Linked DNA regions of Solanum lycopersicum. The protein of the gene in region 2 interacts with the protein of the main gene of each other region in a pairwise test. Links are inferred from orthologs where the notes say so. Each region holds a gene or a part of one and is shown on either strand. Other genes may lie near its edges.

Region 1 (9,650 bases), on a different chromosome or scaffold from region 2:
GCAACATTGATGTCCTTTTGGTCCTATCCTAAAACTTTTTGCCTATTTTTTAACATTTATTTTGTTCAAAATTTTATATAAGGAATGTCCAGTCGTCTTTTTATATATTTAATAGAAATAATAACTCTATCTGAGAGAAGGTGATAAGAAAAAAATCTTGTTTTGTTCACTAGAAATATTACTGCAACTAAACTAAGAACATCTTAACATATGACTTTATAGAAAAAGAAAAAATTATACTATTGCGCGTGAAATTATCGTGATGAACATCTGAACTTTACCTGCTATAAAATTTCTACTAAACAAAACAAATTTTTTTCTTCTAACATTCTTCGATATGGAGTTGTTATTTCTACTAAATATATAAAATGAAGATTGAACATCCCATACATAGGTTATGGATAAATCAATGCAAAAAAATAGGTAAAATTTTGAAGAAAAACCAAAAGTGCACCAATATTGCAAACATGAAAAACTATTAGTCCTCCGTGTGAAAACTCAAGAACCACTTTGAGCCTTAACCCAAAGAAGAGAGACTATTTTGATCCTTTCCTCAAATATTAATTAATCATTAATTTCAATATTAACTAGTGAAGATTAAAATTGAAATAACACTCTAAAAATACTCTTGAAAACTGAACAACTAATTAATTTGAAAAATGAAAAAATGTCTCAACAACTCAATAAATTTCTTGAAAACTGAACAACTAATTTAATTTGAAAAATGAAAAAATATCTCAACAACTCATTTAATTTGAAATGAAGGGAGTAGTAACAATATTTTCTCATGTTCTTTCGAAAAAGTCGTATTTATCTCCCAATTATAATGCATTAAGTTAAATATCAAGGTACGTATGATTTCACTACTTAAATCTCATCCAAAGTAAAACTGGACTTCTATTATTGCGATAGAATAATAGTAGTTCTAAATAAGAAAATTGCAACAAATAAATCGAATTAGTCTAACGATTTGTTTTTTTAAGATAAATTAGTATACAATATAGGTAATGCTTCTTTAGCTTTCTCTATGTATAATAAGAAAAATACCAACCAAAAATGTATTATCTTTGCATTTGGTTATGAATATTGATTAATCCCGAAAACCATTTTATATCTCATATAGAAGGTGATATATCCTTATCTATCTCATCTCGATAACCAACTTTTTCCGATATATCTTTCCTGCAAACAGAAATACTCTTTTACAAACACAAAAAAAATGCATTGAAGATACACACTTGCCTAAAAACAATGGTTACATATAACGAATTGTTACAAAAGTGTCTTGGATTGTAACCAATACTAGCAAATTCATCGAACACTCCCAAAAGGGATTTTCAGGTATTTACAGCAGTCTAAGTTGATCGTAACACCTACTAAGTATGTTTAAAAAGGTGAAAAGAATTTATCAAATGCCAGACAAACAAGACATTTCAACCCACTTTCCGGTTAGGCAAAGGCATGTACAGGTTTCACATACCATAGTCATTGAAATTCTCGTCTGGAATGTAAAAGTCGAACTTGACATCAACTGAACCAGAATTATCTCCAGTGTCTTTGTACTCAACATTTGTTATTGTCCCAGTTGGATCCTCTACCTGGTATTCTGATCTCACCCGTCTGACTGGCACTGTGACAGAGTAGATTGTCCCTAGGTCTGGATCCGTTGAGACGCTCAGCTGTACTTTCTCCTGCGATTCTATTTCCACAAAATCAGAGAGAGCACTAACGACGTTGCTTACAATCTTCTGTTTGGCCTCATCACTGACAGCACATCTATCAGAGAAGAGAATCATCCTCAGGCGTTGCTTAGCAACATTAGCAGCAGAATTACTTGCCGAAGGGGATGGTGGAAACATTATCTTCCAAGCCAAGCTTAGGCGCTCAAAAAAGCTCATGCTGATAGCATTGAGGAGTAAATTATCAAATTCCTGGCTGATGGAACTTGCTGCTACTTTATAGTCTCCAAGAATCCCAAGAGGCTTTCTTGAGTGGCATCGGAAGCTATGGCTATCAGATGATAGACGAGACCATTTGGGCAACACCTCAGAGGAACTAGATCCACCATTAAGAAAGGCACTAAAATCTACCTGCAATGTGAAAGAAAATTATCTTTCATTGTGGTCATGATACAAACAATGGGAAAACACAACACAAAAATTTAGGCACATTTTATGAAATTGTTTACAAGATGCTAGGACGCACACGCTTTCCTACATATTGCACAGCTTGTAGGAACCATTATTTCCCAATGCTTACAATTTTTCTGACACAGCTTTAGTAAAAAGCACAAGTAGAGATGCAAATATTAAAAATCTACATTCAAGCATGGTTTACCAATAACCCAATCTTTGAAAGTGCTAGGATTCAAAAGATATAGAGAACGCACTTAAAAGGATATCGGCAAAAGTTTTTCGTTGGGGAATAAGTAAACATAACCATTTTATTGCTTCTTCATCTATCAAGGAAAAAAAATATAGTTCAGCATTTGAAGCAAACGATAAATCCAGGTGAATCAATGAATAAACATATTGCACAAGCATATCCACTGATGAGTTAAGAGTTCAAAGTACTTTTTACAGAGACGCACACATGGACCCAATTGATGCAAATGTATGACCATGAATATTTTACACCTTGAGCACATCTGATCCAGCTTGGACACAACATCTCACATTTAGCTAGGCTCTAAGATCCAAAGAGGGAAAAAAGGAAGACAAAATTGAACTAAAACTAGAAATCAAGGAAGCAACTTTTGAGCACATATCGACCTGGTACCAGGCAGAATGAAGAAGACCAGTTGAACTGTGAATCACATTTAGGGCCCAGTTAACTAATTCAACCATCTCGGCAAAAGAGACGAAGACCAAGTAGGCACCAATTAGTCTAGCCTTTTCTTTTAAATAGGACCTAGCCAGCTTCTCTAATATGCCGCGACACAAATATTCGGTATTAGAAGTGTCAACCACTCAGTCCTCATTGCAATTATAGGAACCATATTAGGCGTTATTGAAGAGGTCTCAAGCAACAAGACCACAAGTACATATTTAAGTCTGATAATGTCAATGGTGCATGTTTTTGGAAAGGCTATGCACCAATGGCATTACCATCTGTGCAATAACTACATGCCTATAAATCAAATTACTAAAAAAATGTGGCTATGCTAACATGAACAGGTGTAAATTAGTGCTATGCTAACATGAGCAGATGTAAATTAGTCGGAGTTAAGGCACCAAATTCACGTAGAAAATGTTAACTGTTAAGGGAAAAAACAACCAAAGTTCCAAACAACATAAGCTCAAACGAATCAATGCATTGAGATAATTTTGAAAACTTTACTGTGTCCTAAGTCCTAACAGAAAAGCCATCATCTCAAGAAAGAAGGAAAAAGTGTAGTGAATGTCCAAGCAATTCAGTGGGAAACACTCTCTTCCACTAGAACATTGGTTGAGCCTGAGTTAATGGGTTGTTATCTCCTCACATAGTCTTGGACAATCCTTACCTCATGAGGTACCTTTTCATGTTGAATTAAGCCCAAGGTTCATCACAACCAAACTCATCACTGTTCTTAGTTTACCCAATGGACGCCCATGTTATGTTCTCTACACACCAAATGTCCAGTTCGGTCTGGGTTGGTGGGTGGGTGGGTGTGTATGAGCATGGGGGTGGAGCCGTCCCATATTTGAGGGAATGGTATGTTTTCTCCGTACACAGTCTAGCACAATCCTCATCTCATAGCTAGCTTTTGAGGTCGCATAGACCCTAAGTTCATTTTCTTCACATGTAAATGAAGTAAGCCAGAAGAAAAGTGGTGATTAAGATTATGTCCATCAACTCTTATTTAAAGCGGGAAAAAAAACTAAATTAATTTAGTCATCAATAACCATACAGGAACTTTCCTAATACACACACACCAACAACATGGGACCATTACCCAAGCTTCCGTCACAAAAGCAGGTCCAGAATCATAAGCCAGGGGTGTGGAGTACCTCTAAGCTCACTACTTTTTTTTTGTAACAAAATATGCTCAATTGACTGTAAAAATACTTCTAAAAAAGTTTCAACATGTGTGTGTGTGTACATATAGACCTCAAGCAAAGGCATTGGGACTCATGATCCCTGCCTTCACTGTTGATCAACTCCTGTTCACGCATGCCAAAAGAGAATTAGCAAGAAAATCCTTCACCTAACAAGTCCCAGAAGCTCCAAACACATCCTTAAATAGAGCCCTGATCAATAAGCTAGACATTACTCAGATGATGCTTCTCACCTATTTCCAAACTCCATCAACCATAGTCCATACTAGCCCTAGCTACTTTTCCCACTTAGCTTAATCAGCAGTAGGTGGAAACAGCTAATTCACATAGTTACCAAGCACTTACTCATCTTTTAAAAAACACAAGACACCTAGCACTTAAGCCCTCCAATTCTGAAAGTTTCTCAATCTTAGAACTCTACATTCAAAACCGAGGAGAAAAAAACGAATCTTTGACTATAAAAGAGTACATTGTACACCTCCCAACAGCAACAGGAATCCAAGTAACTCTATCCACCCATGCTAGAACAAATGAGAAGAAATCACCTAGTTTTTTTCATTTCTGCTGGGATTTCAATCTGAAACCTCATGATGCTCACTTCATTCACAAATCACAACTACTTGTAAACAAATGTAGACCCATATCACCAAATTTTAAAAAAAGGTACCCAAGAAAAGCTATAGAAATTTCCTCAAAAATTACAGTAACACAATCTCTTAGATTTGGCGAAATGATTGGATGAAGCTAACATTCCCATAAAGTTAACAACTTAACAAATTCCCAACAAACAATTCACTTAAAATCGTATAAAAAACATGAATTTGTTAATCTATGAAAAGTCAAACCTTTGAAGGAGGTAAAGAGGTCCGAAGTGGATTCTTTGGGTATGGAACCAATGTAGCGGAGACCCTAAAATCTCCTGAAATTGCCATTTTTCTCTTTCTCACTGCTTCTACTTCGCACAGAAACGGAGGTTAGGGTTTGGAAATGGGAACTTTCAGGTGAAATTGCCAATACAGTAGAGCTCACGCCAACCCTACGTACTCAGCTCATTATTACGACGTCGTTCCCGGGTACATGTGAATTCTTTTGTTTTGATCTTTAGGGATTGTGTTTTAGTTATGTATTCGAATAACTAATCTCTGCATAAAATTTCGCTTGAGATAAAAATGGTAAATTTAAATTTATTGACGTGACTCGAGTATATACAGACTGAGATGACCGAGAATGCGTAATTTAGGGAGAAAATAACTTGTTTTAATCAATATGAATGAATAACGAGTGTAATATAAAATGAAATTAAACAGTAAAGTAATTGAATAGAAACACCTCGAGGTCTGGTACTAGAATTTGGTTGCGGCATCGGGCAAGTTTGATGTTGTTGATAATGAACAAAACAATGAATGACAAAGCTTAATAGAGCAACTTTTGTAGAACACAACCTTCACGTAGACTCTCCTTGACTCACGTCTGCAATTGTTATGCAATTTTTGGAGGAGGAGTATCGCGAATCTTTCGATAGTGGTTGGGCTTCATGCTTATCATATTTAGGTATGGTCCGATGTCAAATCTCGACGCTCTAGAGCTAGGCGGGCTTGTGGATGTATAAGTGTAGTGAACTTGGAATGTCTTGGAACAAGGTTATTTCTTTTCATCACCGTTGAGAATATATTCAGTGTCATTAAGTCAAACCTGAGCTGCCACTTCCTTCATGTGTCTTTTCTCGATTCAGCACCTGACTTTTTTTTACGAACATAGTGTTTGATTGAATGCATTGAAAAGAATCGACTTAGAATTATAAAATAGTGATTTTACGATTATCTTAAAAAATATTTATATAAATTATGTAAAAATAAATACATTATTCTACACAGAATGAAATATCTAAAGATGAAAACTACTCGTTTAAGGTATGTAATTATCTATAACAATAATCTCTTTAGTATTATATTAATACTCGCAAACCAATCTTCATTACTAATAATCGCATAAACAACCAAGTATTCACCTTATTGACGGTTTCAATAGAAAAGGGGGTGAAATTAGAGACGCAAGGTAATACCAAACAATATATTATAATTATTATTATTATTAATACAAGAATAAAAAAACTCAAATATGCCATTGAATTTTTAGAAAAAACTTATTTATGTCATCCGTTTAAAGTTTGACTCATCTATGTCATTACCGTTCAAGAAAAGGTTAATTCATGCCATTATTTTTTAACAGTGATTTTGCAAAACCATTTTGACACGTGGCCAATTGTAATTCGGCTATGTCATCAATTTTTTAAATAAAAAAATCATAATTATGAAGAAAAAAAATTGAACTAGATTTTTTTTTGTTTAAAAAATTGATGACGTGGCCGAATTATAATTGGCCACGTCATAAATTTTTTAAAATAAACAAATTAAAATTCTGAATAAAAATTGAATTAATTTTTTAAAAATTTTCTTTATTAAAAAAATTTATGACGTGACCGAATTATAATTGATCACGTGAATGATTTTGCAAAATCATTATTAAAAAATAATGGCATGAATGAGCCTTTTTTTAAATAGTAATGATATAAATGAGTCAAACTTTTAACTGATGGAATAAATGTGTCTTTTCTGAAAGTTCAATGACATATTTGAGTCTTTCCCCTTAATACAAAGTATTGATTTTTTAAAAGGAAACTTTGACGTATAGCCACTAAATTAGCGAGATTGAGAGAGGCAGGAGAGAGACGAGCGAGATTGAGAGAGAGACGAGCGAGAGAGGACAGAATGAGAGAAATTTGAATTGTATATGTATATTGGTTAAATAATAATATGTCTTATACATATGAATTTGTATATATGACAAGTGAGATAGCAAGAGGGAGAAGAGAGGCGAGCGAGATTGTGAGAGAGACGAGAGAGGAGAGCGAGAGAGGGAAAAGAGTGGGAGAGATGTGAATTGTATATGATGGTTGAATAATTGTATATTATACATATGCATTTGTATATTTTAACAAATAATACATATATAAACGTGATTAATTACATAAACTCGAAATCAAACCATGTAACTAATTTATAAAGTTGTGGTACGATTATCTTAAATAATATTTATATAAAATAGTGATTTTATGATTATCTTAAATTTGCTTAACCGTAGGGAATATTCTAGTAGTATCAACAAAAACCTTGTTGGATCAGTTCCACGTGTATCCACCACTACCAGCCTTTGCATTCTTGTTCATCGACCAAAATTGTCCAATTTTAGCCATGATTTTTCCGGTGAGTCATTTTCTATTAGCTAATTTTTCCGGTGAGTCCTTTTCTATTAGCTAATTTTTCAGGTGAGTTCTCTTCTATTAGCTAAGAATTGGATATTATTGACTCTTATGATTAAACTATTTGTATCCTATGTGTTTGATAAATTTCCTGAATGAAGTCATTTTTTAAAGTAAATTTTTAGATTATGCGTTGTTCAAAACTTTGGCTGAAAGAATCGGTGTATAACAAGGATTAAGCTACAAAAATGGTCAAGGTGTTTAATTTTTTGTATTTTTTAGGCATAAAAGGAGGAGGAAATACAAAGGTATAGTCCTCATTTAATGACATGAAATTTCTTCACTACTGTTTTGCGTTGTTTTTAGTAATATAACTAAGTTTCATTTTCAAAATAGCCTCTCGGGTAAGGTCTGCGTACACAAAATACTCCACTTGTGGGATTATACAGCGTAAGTTGTTGTTGTGTTTTCCTTTGCTATCACTTTTTGATTTATTGGATTGAGGAATGGGTAGTCATTCCTGATGCTAAGTATGGCTGTAAGATTTTGTTCTTGTGGATATATTTTTGTAAATGTAGAATTCGTTTGTCTTATGCATAACATTTACACATTCTCATTTACTTGACTTGTGGGTTTAACAGGAGTAGATGAACAAGGGGAAACAGTTTTTGAGTTCATTGATCGACAACAGCTAGCCAGGGAGCATGAATTCAGTAACAGCATCGGCATCAGCATACATTTCACTTTCACTTAGCATCTCGCCTCCTACTAGAAAAGCGCGGTCTAAATTTCAGCTAGGCAAATGCAAACCCCTAATATCGTCCAATTTTGACTGCAAGTGCAGGGCTCTGGGAGAAGGCTCTCAGCCAGAGACACAGTCCCAGACGATCCAACCTACAATTTATCAAGGCGTTTATGGCCCTTGGACAATCGAAGACTCTGATATTCGAGAGGTAAAACCAACTCCACCCTGTTGTGCCATGCTGTTTATATATTAGTTTAACCTAGAGATGTTGCATTTGAATTCGTTGCACAACACTGTTGAAGAGAAATGTATGCAGCATAGCTTAAATTTAATTGAAGGTTTCTGGCACTTTGTGCTCCTACAATAATATATTTATGCTTACTATATTTCTAAAGGAAGGATGCTAATATTAGCAATCTAATACACTGAAATCGGTTTGCATTCTTTTTGACAATGTTAATGAACAAAAGATTCTCCCTTCATGTTCATTAATTCTTTTCAGTTTTGTCTTTGTTACTATGTCCCCTGCCTGAATGAATTTTGTTAGATAAAACAAAAATTTTCTTCTTGCAACAATCAAGATGGCGAACTCTCGATGATGCAAAGTTAATGTTATCAACTTTGCAGGTAATTTTGTACAGATCAGGATTAGTAACTGCGGCTGCTTCATTCGTTCTTGCGTCTTCTGTGGCTTTGCTTCCCAATGATTCAGTTACGAGTAACTTGATTGAGAAAAACCTTGATTTGTTTTATGCAATTGGATCGTGTGGACTTGGCCTGTCATTATTTCTTATTCACATTTATGTGACTGAAATTAAACGCTCTCTTCAAGCTTTATGGTTCCTCGGTGCTATCGGATCATTGGCAACATATTCTACCCTTGCTCACCCAGCTGGCATGAATCTAGTTCAATATGTTATCGAGAATCCAATAGCTGTTTGGTTTGTCGGACCACTATTTGCATCATTGACAGGACTTGTGTTCAAGGAAGGTTAGGTTCCAGTTACATCTTTATAAACATGCAGTTACAATTTCACCTACCACATCACAGTATTATCAAATGGGAACTCATTTTAGATACCACATTTGGCTAGTAGAGATAGTAATTTTTGTTTGCAAGTTGAGGTTTTGGAGATGTAACAAAATGTATACTGATTTTCAGAATAAAGGAACTTACTGATTGTCCCTTAGCTGTAGTTATCATTTTCGGTTATGATAGATAATTCATATCTAACAAATTATACTTCTCTTAACTTCCACTTTCTGTAGAACACTCCGGTCTCCGTTCATTTAAGGATCTCTGAGTTTATTTTTGTTATCTTGGAACAGGACTTTGCTATGGAAAGTTGGAAGCCGGTCTTCTGACATTTGTCATTCCTTCCCTCCTACTGGGGCACCTGGTAACATTTGCGACTATGCTGCTAGTCCTAAAGTTTCATTCTATGCAGAGTTATTTAGTTATAAACCTGAAATATACTTCTCCAACCTTACAATTGAAACATCAATCCTTCATCGTCCGAAAATGACAACCTGAAGATCTCGAGATGCTCCAATCAGAACTTCTTTTTCTACAGCACTCAGATTGTTTGACTAGGCTTTCAAAAGTTAA
Region 2 (10,773 bases):
CAGAATTATAATTTCTTTTTTACGAATTTATCTAATTTTTCAAGTTGATAGAATGACACGAATTTTGGGATGTGTTTGATTCGAAGGAACATATTTAGAGTGTTATTTATGAAATTTATTTTTTCTACTTTCACTAAAAATATTGTTTTTTTGAAGAAAATATTATCTATTTTTCTTAATCTAAGTTCATATTATTTTACAAATTTAATTACTTTATAAATATCTTTAGACCAATACAATGTTATTGAAATTACAAGAATTTGCCTTCGAAATTATAAATTTATTTTAAGTTTGACATACAATATTATTTATGCAAGCACACTTTTCACATGTTTTTTTGAGATTTTATATATTTTGATATATATATATATATATATATAAAAATTAATTTTGTCTTCTGCAATATCTTTATTCGTATAAAGTGACTCGTACTAGTAAAATTATTACAATGCAAAAATGAAATTATCCACTCCTTTGTCGATTCTTCTTTTTTATTATCGTGAACTCAATAAATGATACACCAGAAATACATCATTTCCGATTCCGAAAATCAACAATAAAGAGGATAATGTATTCACGTGATAGTATGTCAATGGCACGTGATGTAGTGAATCCAATTTGCTCTCTACCTGATATTAGAAGTAAATTAAAGTAGAGTTTTAATTAAAACAATTAATGAAAAAATAAATAAAATTATAATAAAAACTATTAGTACAGTTTGTAAGTTTTTTATTATTATTATTATTAATAATTGTAAGGCATTGAAGGACCTCATAGGAAAATGCATCCAAGATTTAATTACAGATGGGCTCTTGACTTAAATTTTCACGTTTAATTAAAATATATTTCCAGTACAATTTTAACTATATTTTAAATTTAATATAATAAATAAACTTTGGGGAGTACTACTATTTAATATTCAATAAATTCATTGAATTCTTGTTGAGGTAATTGATTGGTGTGATATGTTGTTTTAAGGGCAATTAAATTCGGAATTTAAAGTTTATAAATTATTATAATAAATTAACAGAAAAAGTAATATGGAATAAGCGATATTCATTGGGGCAAGATTTCTAATATACGTATAAAAATGTAAGTAAAATAAAAATTTTAAATTTACGTAAATTCATAAATTACACTGTAGATCCATTCACGATCTCTTTGAATAGTCATTTCTCCATATTAATTAAGAACCCTAATCCTGGAGCTATATCAATTAATGCTTCTGAATGCAAATATTCAATTAAATGAGCTGGTGAATTTAATTCAATAACTATATATATATATATATATGACTTAGCTATATATAGTTAACACAAATATTTGAAATTATTGTAACACACTTCACTCAAAAGAAAAAAAAAAAGTTTGCCACATATTATCTAATGACAATTTTATGATAGAATTATTTTTAAATATATTTATATTAGTTATGAACTATTTAACACAAATTGATAGAATCGTGAATCGATATGGATTGTGGTATAGTGGTGCGGCTGTTTCAGTCTTGACAAAGGTCTCGAGTTCGATTATTTTTGGTACGGAGAAAATCTTGTTAAGAACACTACTCTCGAATGAGCTCTTCAGTGCGTGATTCAGATTTAGTCGTAGCTCTAATGTGACTGAATGGAAAATAAAAAATTCGTACTACCCTGGGCCTTATTTTGTTTGTTGAAAAAACTCGATGAGCCTATTAATATATCGATATCACTTTTGTTCAAGGAGTGTCAATCGACTTCGCTAAAAAAAATTACAACCTTATTTATTTTAGATAATTTTTCTTTTTGTTTTTTCTTCATTAAAATCCACATAATAGTAAAGACATTTTGTTCCCATAAAGTTTGACAAAACAAGATATACATAGTGACAAATTTTAAACTTGGAATGAGAAAATGATTTTTATTCTGAATATTCTTTTCAAAAATATTATTAGATATTTTTTCTAAAATTTATTTGTTTTTTTGTTATTTAAAATTTTATTTAACAGGTAGTGCTAATTTTTTTTTCTTAATATACATATGTGCAACTTTATGTTGTTTTCTTATATAAAAAAATATAACTTACGTAAATTATGGTGAAGTTATATGTAATGTTTTCCGAAGTAATTATGGAGGATTTGTATAATTTTTGTAAACAAAAGTATCCGAAATACATATCACCAAAAGTTTATGTACTAATATACACGAAAAACGGAGAAAATCTGATTGGGTGACCCCTAAATGCTAAGCAAGTGGCGTGAATTATAGTGAGGCTATAGATATTGTTTCTCCAAGTCATTACACAAGGTTTTGTATAGTTTTTGTAAGTGTAGGAAATTCATATCATCGTAAAATTCATGTACTAACACATGAAAAATTTGAAATAATCGCGTAATTCTTATTGAATGGAAAAAAAATACCCACTATTTTCAAATGACAAACGTTTTTTTTTGTTCTGAAATTTGTATGTCACGAAATAAAAATTCAGGAATATATTTGTTTTCACGAGTATTATTAGTCCATGAATTTTTCGAATTATATGCTATCGACTCTGTTTCGATAAGAATTAAGAACATGAAACTCCAAAATACACAAGGTGCTCCAAATAAAAATACTCTCTCCGTCCATAATTATTTGTCATGTTAAAGTCATGCACACCCCTGAAGAAAAATTTAATACAATGTGTAATTTGACTAATATAACCCTATCAAGAATATCAAAAGTCTACCTAACTTCCCAATTGAACTACATTATCATTAAGGGCAAATTTGGAAAAAAGATGACTAATTATTTCTTGATTATTTAAATTGACAATTAATCTTGGACATCTATTTTTAGTATACCTGCCAAACAATTGTGGACAGAGGGAGTAATAAATAATAGAAAAAATGTATAAGTACCCCCATATGCCCAAAATCTCATAAGCACACATATATTGTACTAAGGTCCTATTAACCCCCGAACTTATTTTATAAATAATTTTGACTTTTTTCGACCTACGTGGCACTATCTTCTGAGGCCCAACACGTGTTGACAATCTTTTCAAACTATTTGGTTGATAGTGTCACGAAGGCCGAAAAGAAATAAAAGATTATTTATAAATAAGCTCAGAGGTAATAGAACCTTAGAATAGTATAAATGTATGTCTGGAATTTCGGGCATACCCTAAAATAAAAATCAACAAGAGCTAATGCCCCTAGATGTAAAAAGATAACTTTAAATTACTATTTACATAATATACAAGATCTGTTAGAATTGGAGATTTTCAAATTGGATTTCACCAGTCAAATAAAGAACCAAATGCTTAGAGGATGTTCATATAATACTCTGAGCTGCTGCTACTGCTACAGCATAGTTTTGTTATGATCATTGAAGCTGATTGAAGAAAACTCTTCGTAATAGGCATCCGCCCGCCCCTGCTTGATATATTTCTGCCATTTGTTTCTCTAGTACACCAAGAATGTACGAAGGATCGTATATTTTTACAGATACGATAGACAGTCTACCCGGTTTCTGCATCAGAATCCAAATTCTTTCGGCTTTGAAGAAGGCCTTCATCCCATTCCTCTATACTCCTAATAGAACATGAGGATTACATTAATAACAAAAGAAGTGTACTTAATTAACAATAGCAAAAGAGTACTCGTGTAAGCATCATAGAAGAGCCCAGAAATCATGAAGATCGATTAGTGTACAAGCTTCTTGGTCACAACGAGTCGAAGAGATCAAAATTCAGCTAGCACTACCGGTAAAAAAAAGTGAAACCCGATGTACAACCAACTTGGTTCAGGTGGTGCCAAGGCTGGTGGTTCATCGACCTCTCAGACATGTAATGAGTTAGTAACCTAACAGGGTGCTTGATACATTGGTCATATAGGTATCTATTAGAAGAATAGTCTGGCTCATACTAAAACCCACAGCCATTGCATATCAATATCGAGTGTCTAAGCATTGCACTATTCCCAATTTTAAATGAAATTTATATGCAGATATCTGAGAACTAGTTCATGTAATATGCAGAATGAAACGTGTGTCAAATTCTGGAAAATAAAAACACAAAGTAGCACATTTGGAACGGACGGGAGTTTAAGGAGTGAAGGATGAGATAAATTTCTGCAATCCGCTGGTATTAGCATGGACCTCTTCACCTTATATCCTAGGTTTATAATTGGAAGAACTATGGAGCCTTAACTATGTTTTTATGACAGACAGATGTACTGCAGATATTTAAGTCGTATGCAAGCCTAGGAACTTCAAAAGATGTAAGATTTGAGATGGTTCAAGTAGGAAATAAACATTATTTCTGAGTTAATCCAACTTTAAATTCCAGTTCAGCGTTTGTATTTTAATGTGTAAAAACGATGTCTGAATTAGAAAACCGAGAACTAAACAAACATACCTCGTCCCATCAATGTTGATACAGAGAAATTGACCATGGCGCAATCCATCTTTAAAGTGACCAAAGAAAACATCACCAAGTTTGGAATAGAAACGGGCTTCTCCATTAGCCTTTCCCTTCCAGAAGTTCGCAAACCATCGATCCCCAGTATGAAAGTAAAACCATCCCTATATATAGTTAAAGAGTGTTATTTGTTTAGACAATGACAGCTAGGATGATGCAAACTTTTTCCAGAGAAAGGAGAGTGTGCAAAATCTGCTTGACAAGTGATATGCACGGCATCTACAAATTTTTATTTGAACATTGCTAAATAAACTATCATATACCGAAACACAAAGGAATTGTCACTAGAATGAGAACAGTAGTAGGAGATACAAAGGAGTTCCCATAATAGTTGTCTACAATAGGGATCGACATTGAATCCCTACTTGTTCAACACAACACAAGATGAGGTCTCATGATGCATGCTATTTGCTGACCATAGTAAGTTAATTGACGAAATCAACAAGGTTGTCGACCAAAAAATTGAACTATGGATAATCATTTCTGAGAGTAGTGGTTTTAGGACAAGTAGTGTATGACTGAATATATGCACTGCAAGCTTAGTAAGCATGAGAAGAGCCACGTTGAGGTAAAAAAGACTATATAGGATTGCGGTGCCAAGATGCAAACAATTTATACATTTAGGCTCGTTGTTCCAAGAGAATAGAATGATAAACGAAGATTTCATCACTAGCTAGCTAAGTCAGATCTTCCTAAATTGATAGGCGTTGAATGGATAATGCCAAGATCAACTAGTGAGTTGTTGGTCATGTTGGAACAGTTCAGGCAGATGTATCAGCCACGAGTAGATGGAGAATAATTCCTACATGCATATGGGGGACCATCCGGAAGGAAAGAAACTCTAGATGTTTCGGAATAGATATAATTCTTCCCAAAAGATCCGAGTTGAATTGTATTTTATTTTTTCACTTTTGGTGTAATGAAAATTATACAGATCATTCAGTATCAATTTTGGAAGCTTTAGAATCCTTGAAAGAAGAATCAAGGGTGCCATGGAGCTGTCTTGTGTTTGTAAATATGGCACCCATCACTGCCTTTCTGCTGGAGTTTATAATAACTGTTACCATTCTCAAAGAATCAGCTTCGCAAATTCTCATTATGAAACCAAGCATGGATGAATCTGTACAGATCCAGAAGTTACACGAAAGATGCCACAAATACAAAGTATTTCTCCAAAATACTTCAGAATTCTTGAAAACAATTGTTATCAAGTTCAACTCAATTGATGCTTGAAAAGCAATTAATCGGAATAATTTGGATAGTTGGCTTGTTTTTTGATGAAGTAAAAAATTTACTGATTTAAATGGGAGTATTTATATACAGAAAGTGGATAATCTCAAACATGGTCCTTCAAAGAGAGCACCCAGTCTTCCAAAACGTAAATATAGTAGGTAAAATGTTTGACCAAAAACCAACACGCTCTTCTAATGCACAAACGAGTTTCCACATTCTTAAAAAGCTCTCGGGTTCTTTTTCTACTATAGACCACGTGCGTGCCTAGGAAGCTCTTTTGCATGCTGGTTGGTATATTTCGAAAAGGTGTCTCACTATCCATGGTGTTCTTTTTTAATAAAGGAAACAGAAAATTTTCATTAACTGAGGGAATCCATGACATATTGAAATACTACAACTTTCTGAAACAACAGGAAATATAGAATGAGAAGCTGATAACACGCAGCAGAAGTGCACGCACACTAGTTTTTGTATAGTAAATTAATAGAGAACTATCAAACTCTGAAAAGCACTTAAGGATTATTAGTACCTTTCCATGCATGAGATCATCTCTCCATGAACCCCGATAAGTATCACCGTTATTGAAGTAAAATGTACCCAATCCTGACTTCTTCCCGTAGCGCCACATACCATCGTATTTGCTTCCATCTTCAAGAGACAGGCAGCCCTATAAAATTCAAAATTCACTTCATCCAGACAAACACGAGAAAAAAAATATACTCATCATCCCAATGTTGAGCGGCATGGTTCATAGCATGAAGGTCAATGCATCTAAGTTACAGAGTGAATTAAGATAACGATTTTTTTGAAAATAAATTTACGTACTGCTAAAGTATATTAAAAGCACTACAAATCATAAAATTTTATGTTAAAAATATTCAAAAAGATGGTTCATAATACTTCGGAAAAAAAAAACTGTTTTGCACTGCACGTAGTTAAAAAAAAGTAACCCAGAAAACAGGTTTTCTGAGACTGTAATAGATAGATCAAAGTACCTTTCCTTCTGGGAGGCCTCCTTCAATGCGACCTCTGTATATACCTCCCCTGTATTTCATTTCAACTACAGGGATCCACTTCTTTTTTGAATCCCGTTCAGCTTCCTGAGTATGATGATAAAAATAAATTTAACTTTGCGTCAAAACTCTCCAACATAATTCTACCTTGTCATACAACCATTCAACACACTAAGATGTCTAGCTTCCTCTATACATGAATAAATTTGAGGTGGAGGGAGGAGGAAATGGCTCTGGTGCCATGTCCTGCAGCTTAAACGATGGACAAGCACCAAAACACAAATGCAAAACCAAAGGATTGTTTAGAAAAAGAGTACGATGCCAGATCGAATAGCAAGAGAAATAGCTCCTGTAAGTAACGTGAGAGCTACAATTAGAACTAGACATATAGTACAGTCTTTACTTTTCTAGTTAATTGGAGTAAGGTTATACAGCTGGTGTGATAGTGAGCTTTGGCTTTGTAAAGTTGTTACACTTGGTGATAATAAAATAATAGTAACAATAAAAAAGAGAGGCTATTTACCAGCATAGAGGCTGCCCGAGTAGACAGAACTCCTTTCCTTTTTGGGCCACTGGCGTAGCTTTTTTCAACTAAGGGAAGGTTGGAGTTGTAAACATCTGAAATAATTTCGCTGTAATCTTCATCTACTTCATCCTGAGATAGATTTGAGATATCTCTAGGCTGTGCAACTTTACTTTCTTCAGATTTCCTCCCTGAACTTCTTGAGTTTGAGGAACCTGCACTAGTTTGCAACTGTTCTTTATGCTTTACACCAACTGGAAGTTTGTAGGTGCTGGTATTGTCAACCGTGTTTTTGCCTTCCGAGTTTTCAGTCCCTTCTGCAGCTAAGCCTTCTGAAGTGTCTTTTCCTGGACCCGGATTCCATCTTGTGAGCAGCTCTCTTTTGAAAACAAGAGGTGCTGCAAAATTCAATCTGGTCAGGATTTCACTATTCCATTATAAGCTCATATCTTTGTTGTCCACTTTCATCTTATTGCAATTGATGAATATTTCTTGCATTCATGTCAAGATGCTACTGCATGAAAATAATTATGTACCTTCAGTTGCAACATCAGAATTTGACAGTTCAATCTTCCTTTCATCAGAGACATTATTATAATCTCTGCATAGCAACAAACTTTCTCTAAGAGCAAGCACAATAAGTCGTCCAAGAATGATTTAAGCAAAGGTGAACTTAGATAGTTCTAAAAGAGTAGAAAAAGACCTCAAAAAGGATGTTTCTTCACCATTGGTAGGAAATAATGCCGGCAGTTCCCCAGAATAGATGGACATATCCTCAGGTGTATTATCCATAGAAACAAATTCTGCCATATCAGAAGTTTCTGGACTCTCATCAATTTCACTCTCTTTGGCAGTTAGAAGTGGTGGATCTGGCTTCTTAAGGATATTAAAAATGAAAGGAATATGTTGCGCTAGTCTAGAAAATAAGCTACTTTTTTCAGATGGTTCCTGTGTAGCGTACCTATGAATAATAAATACTCAAGAATTAGGATTTTAGATAGTAGTGCAAATTCGCTAAAAGAACAGGTTAAACTCTATAGCAAATCATTTGATAAAACATCTGAAGTGAATAGTGTGCCAACAAATAATAGAACCAGACAGAAAGAAACACACAGTATACAGGCACTCGAACAAAACCAAAAAGGCAAGAGGATACAATTCCAGTATCTTGATATCAACCAATAGCAGGCACTAGACATTCAATGATTAGTCAGTACGCACATAAAATATATTTTGCCGGAAACTTTTTTTTTTTTTTAAACCAAAGCACCAAGGAAAAATCAGAGCTTCAATATAGTTATATATGTCAGATATGGTGTGTTCTTAAAACCAATATGCGGTAAAATGACCAAAGACAGACTCTCGTAGTTTCTTGTCCTACGATTTCTGTTACTACCCGTTAATTCATGTGCTTCAGTTATCGCATTTATATGGCTATTGCCTATTGTTACTATTCCTTGTTTTTTGAATGCTCTATAACGTCTTCCCCTATTATTTGTTATGTCCTCTTTACTTATGTATATTTTTTTCAAACTACTTCGATATGTGTTACCTGAGCTAAGATCTTTCTAAAACAACCTCTCTACCCCCACGAGGGAGGAGTAAGCTCTGCGTACACTCTACCCTTCCAAGACCCCACCTATGGGATAACACTGGTTATGTTGTTGTTGTCCCTTTGATAAGTTACTCTCTTAACCATCTTGTACAGAACAATTACAGCTCAGTCCACAATCATCATCATCCCACCACCCACACATCCCAGGTGATTGCCACCCCTACCCTATATTAAGGAGATCAATTCATATAATGCGCATTCATGAAGTGCCATAAGCAAATTAGAGGAAAAAATATATTTAGAGAGTAGCAAGTCCTAAACAAGATAGATCTCATGAAACAAATATAACTACTCTTAACAAAAAGATGAGGATAGATTTTGGCTCAGCATTCATTTAACAACTTACCCACATGTCACTACAGTAGTAACTATTAAATTTGGCTCCAAATTGGCTTCCTGGACAATTGATATCACAATGTCTCCATTACATCCAGTAGTTTGGCGAAACGTGCGCAAGATGCTACGCACATCACTGGAATTTACAACACCTGAACTAGCAATGATGCATATAACCACACCATTTGACCCCTAAGAAAGAACATAAGCAAAGAGGATAAAGGCGTCAAAATGGAGGTCAGAAGACCACAAGGTCTAGAGAGAGAGAGTCAGATAGAGAGAGAAACCATACTAGCTTACAGGAAATACCTTCAATAAATCTAGTGAAAAGTGATTAAATTAAAAGGATATAATAAACTTGATTGAAGTCATAAGTCCAAAGCAGGAATTACTAGCTGTAAGTGTGTGGATGGATGGGAACCGAAAGCATATAATCTGACAAATAGTTGAACTATTTCTGACCTTCACTCCCAAACCAAGGAACGGGCAGTCATATACAGCTCGCAGAATTGAAGTTTCGACATTGTAGCCAGCTCCGAATCCAGTTTTTGCCTCTTTGTAGCTTTCAAGAATCTGTAAATAATCACTTTAGCCTTTAATTTGAGCAGACAAAAAAATTAAAAAAAAGTATGAAGTTCCGCAACAGAATCTTCAAATTTCATGAGAGAGGGATCCAATTTAAGAACTTTTGGATTGAAATGGTCCATTTTTTTATATAGAGTATATTACTTTAACATCCACTAATTTCTTCTTCTGCTCACCAATAAGAATTAATAATTTGTCTGAATGCAAGATGAATGAAGTTACTGTCTCCCCACTTGTGGGACTACACTGCGTATTTTGTTGTTGTTGTCTGAATACAAGGTGAATGAATTTACTTTCTGTTCTTTCTCCTCCTTATGAATCTTCTTCTCCTTTTCTTCAATTTTTTCTTCCTTCTTTCTATTCTTCCAAAAAAATTTATCTCATCTCTTATTTTTTTCATGAAATCATCTAAACTCCTATAAAGCGACTCCTTTTCTAAGAACTAACAGAAGGTGCAATTTTCAACCTTAACAAAAGTTGAAAGACAACCAAAAGTATTGCCTCTAGAGCAAAGAAAATTTACTAAGTTGTACATAACCGCGATTTCCAAGGATAAGAACTACTAGAGATGACACACTCCAAATAAAATCTATGTTATCAGCAATTCAACTTACTACGTAAAACAAGATTATAGTTCTTACTTTTATTAGCTCTGGACCACTCAGTTCTTTTGTACCACAATCTGTCGCATCTAGAAGCTTTATGTGGTCCTCCTGTTATTGTTGCAAGTTTACAGACAGACAGATATTAGATAAATTCATTAATCAAAAGTTGTACAAGGCACTAAGAAAACAAGAGCCAGAAAGCAGAAAAAAGAAGAAAAGGAAAAGAGAGGAAAAAAGAATCAAGAGACTTATTGGAGAAAAAAACAACTTACAGACATAAGAATTGAAATGGCATTAACAGCCATTAGAACAGCATTATATGAAGTCTTCAAAGCTTCATCCAGAGTTAAAAGATCTTTCTTGAGAAGACCATCAGTGTCAATAACTGCAAACCCAAATTAAAAAACATCACAATCTGGGAAC

Evidence for each region. The genes of interacting proteins can lie anywhere in the genome.
Region 1: the proteins of protein ACCUMULATION AND REPLICATION OF CHLOROPLASTS 3, chloroplastic (region 2) and cell division topological specificity factor homolog, chloroplastic interact in binary tests that used the Arabidopsis thaliana proteins (3 or more experiments, as listed by UniProt). The link is inferred for Solanum lycopersicum from reciprocal best matches to the Arabidopsis thaliana genes ARC3 and MINE1.

What each region holds. Positions count from the first base shown.
Region 1 is NC_090804.1:6,241,647-6,251,296, reverse strand, and holds cell division topological specificity factor homolog, chloroplastic, read right to left. Parts: upstream 5,269-9,650; 5' UTR 4,970-5,268; coding exon 4,883-4,969; intron 2,091-4,882; coding exon 1,473-2,090; 3' UTR 1,239-1,472; downstream 1-1,238. Other genes in the region: uncharacterized protein, read left to right, coding at 8,001-8,249, 8,669-9,032, 9,371-9,441. UniProt on the Arabidopsis thaliana protein: Acts as a topological specificity factor during plastid division and specify plastid constriction sites (such as the Z-ring) in a MCD1-dependent manner. Especially involved in epidermal plastids division in a FTSZ1-dependent manner.
Region 2 is NC_090800.1:2,338,844-2,349,616, forward strand, and holds the end of protein ACCUMULATION AND REPLICATION OF CHLOROPLASTS 3, chloroplastic, read right to left. Parts: intron 10,736-10,773; coding exon 10,623-10,735; intron 10,459-10,622; coding exon 10,387-10,458; intron 9,734-10,386; coding exon 9,623-9,733; intron 9,353-9,622; coding exon 9,171-9,352; intron 8,171-9,170; coding exon 7,913-8,170; intron 7,811-7,912; coding exon 7,746-7,810; intron 7,608-7,745; coding exon 7,210-7,607; intron 6,774-7,209; coding exon 6,669-6,773; intron 6,341-6,668; coding exon 6,203-6,340; intron 4,545-6,202; coding exon 4,378-4,544; intron 3,554-4,377; coding exon 3,481-3,553; 3' UTR 3,060-3,480; downstream 1-3,059. UniProt on the Arabidopsis thaliana protein: Together with MIND1 and MCD1, regulates FtsZ ring positioning in chloroplasts in an ARC6-dependent manner. Z-ring accessory protein involved in the initiation of plastid division and division site placement (might functionally replace bacterial MinC).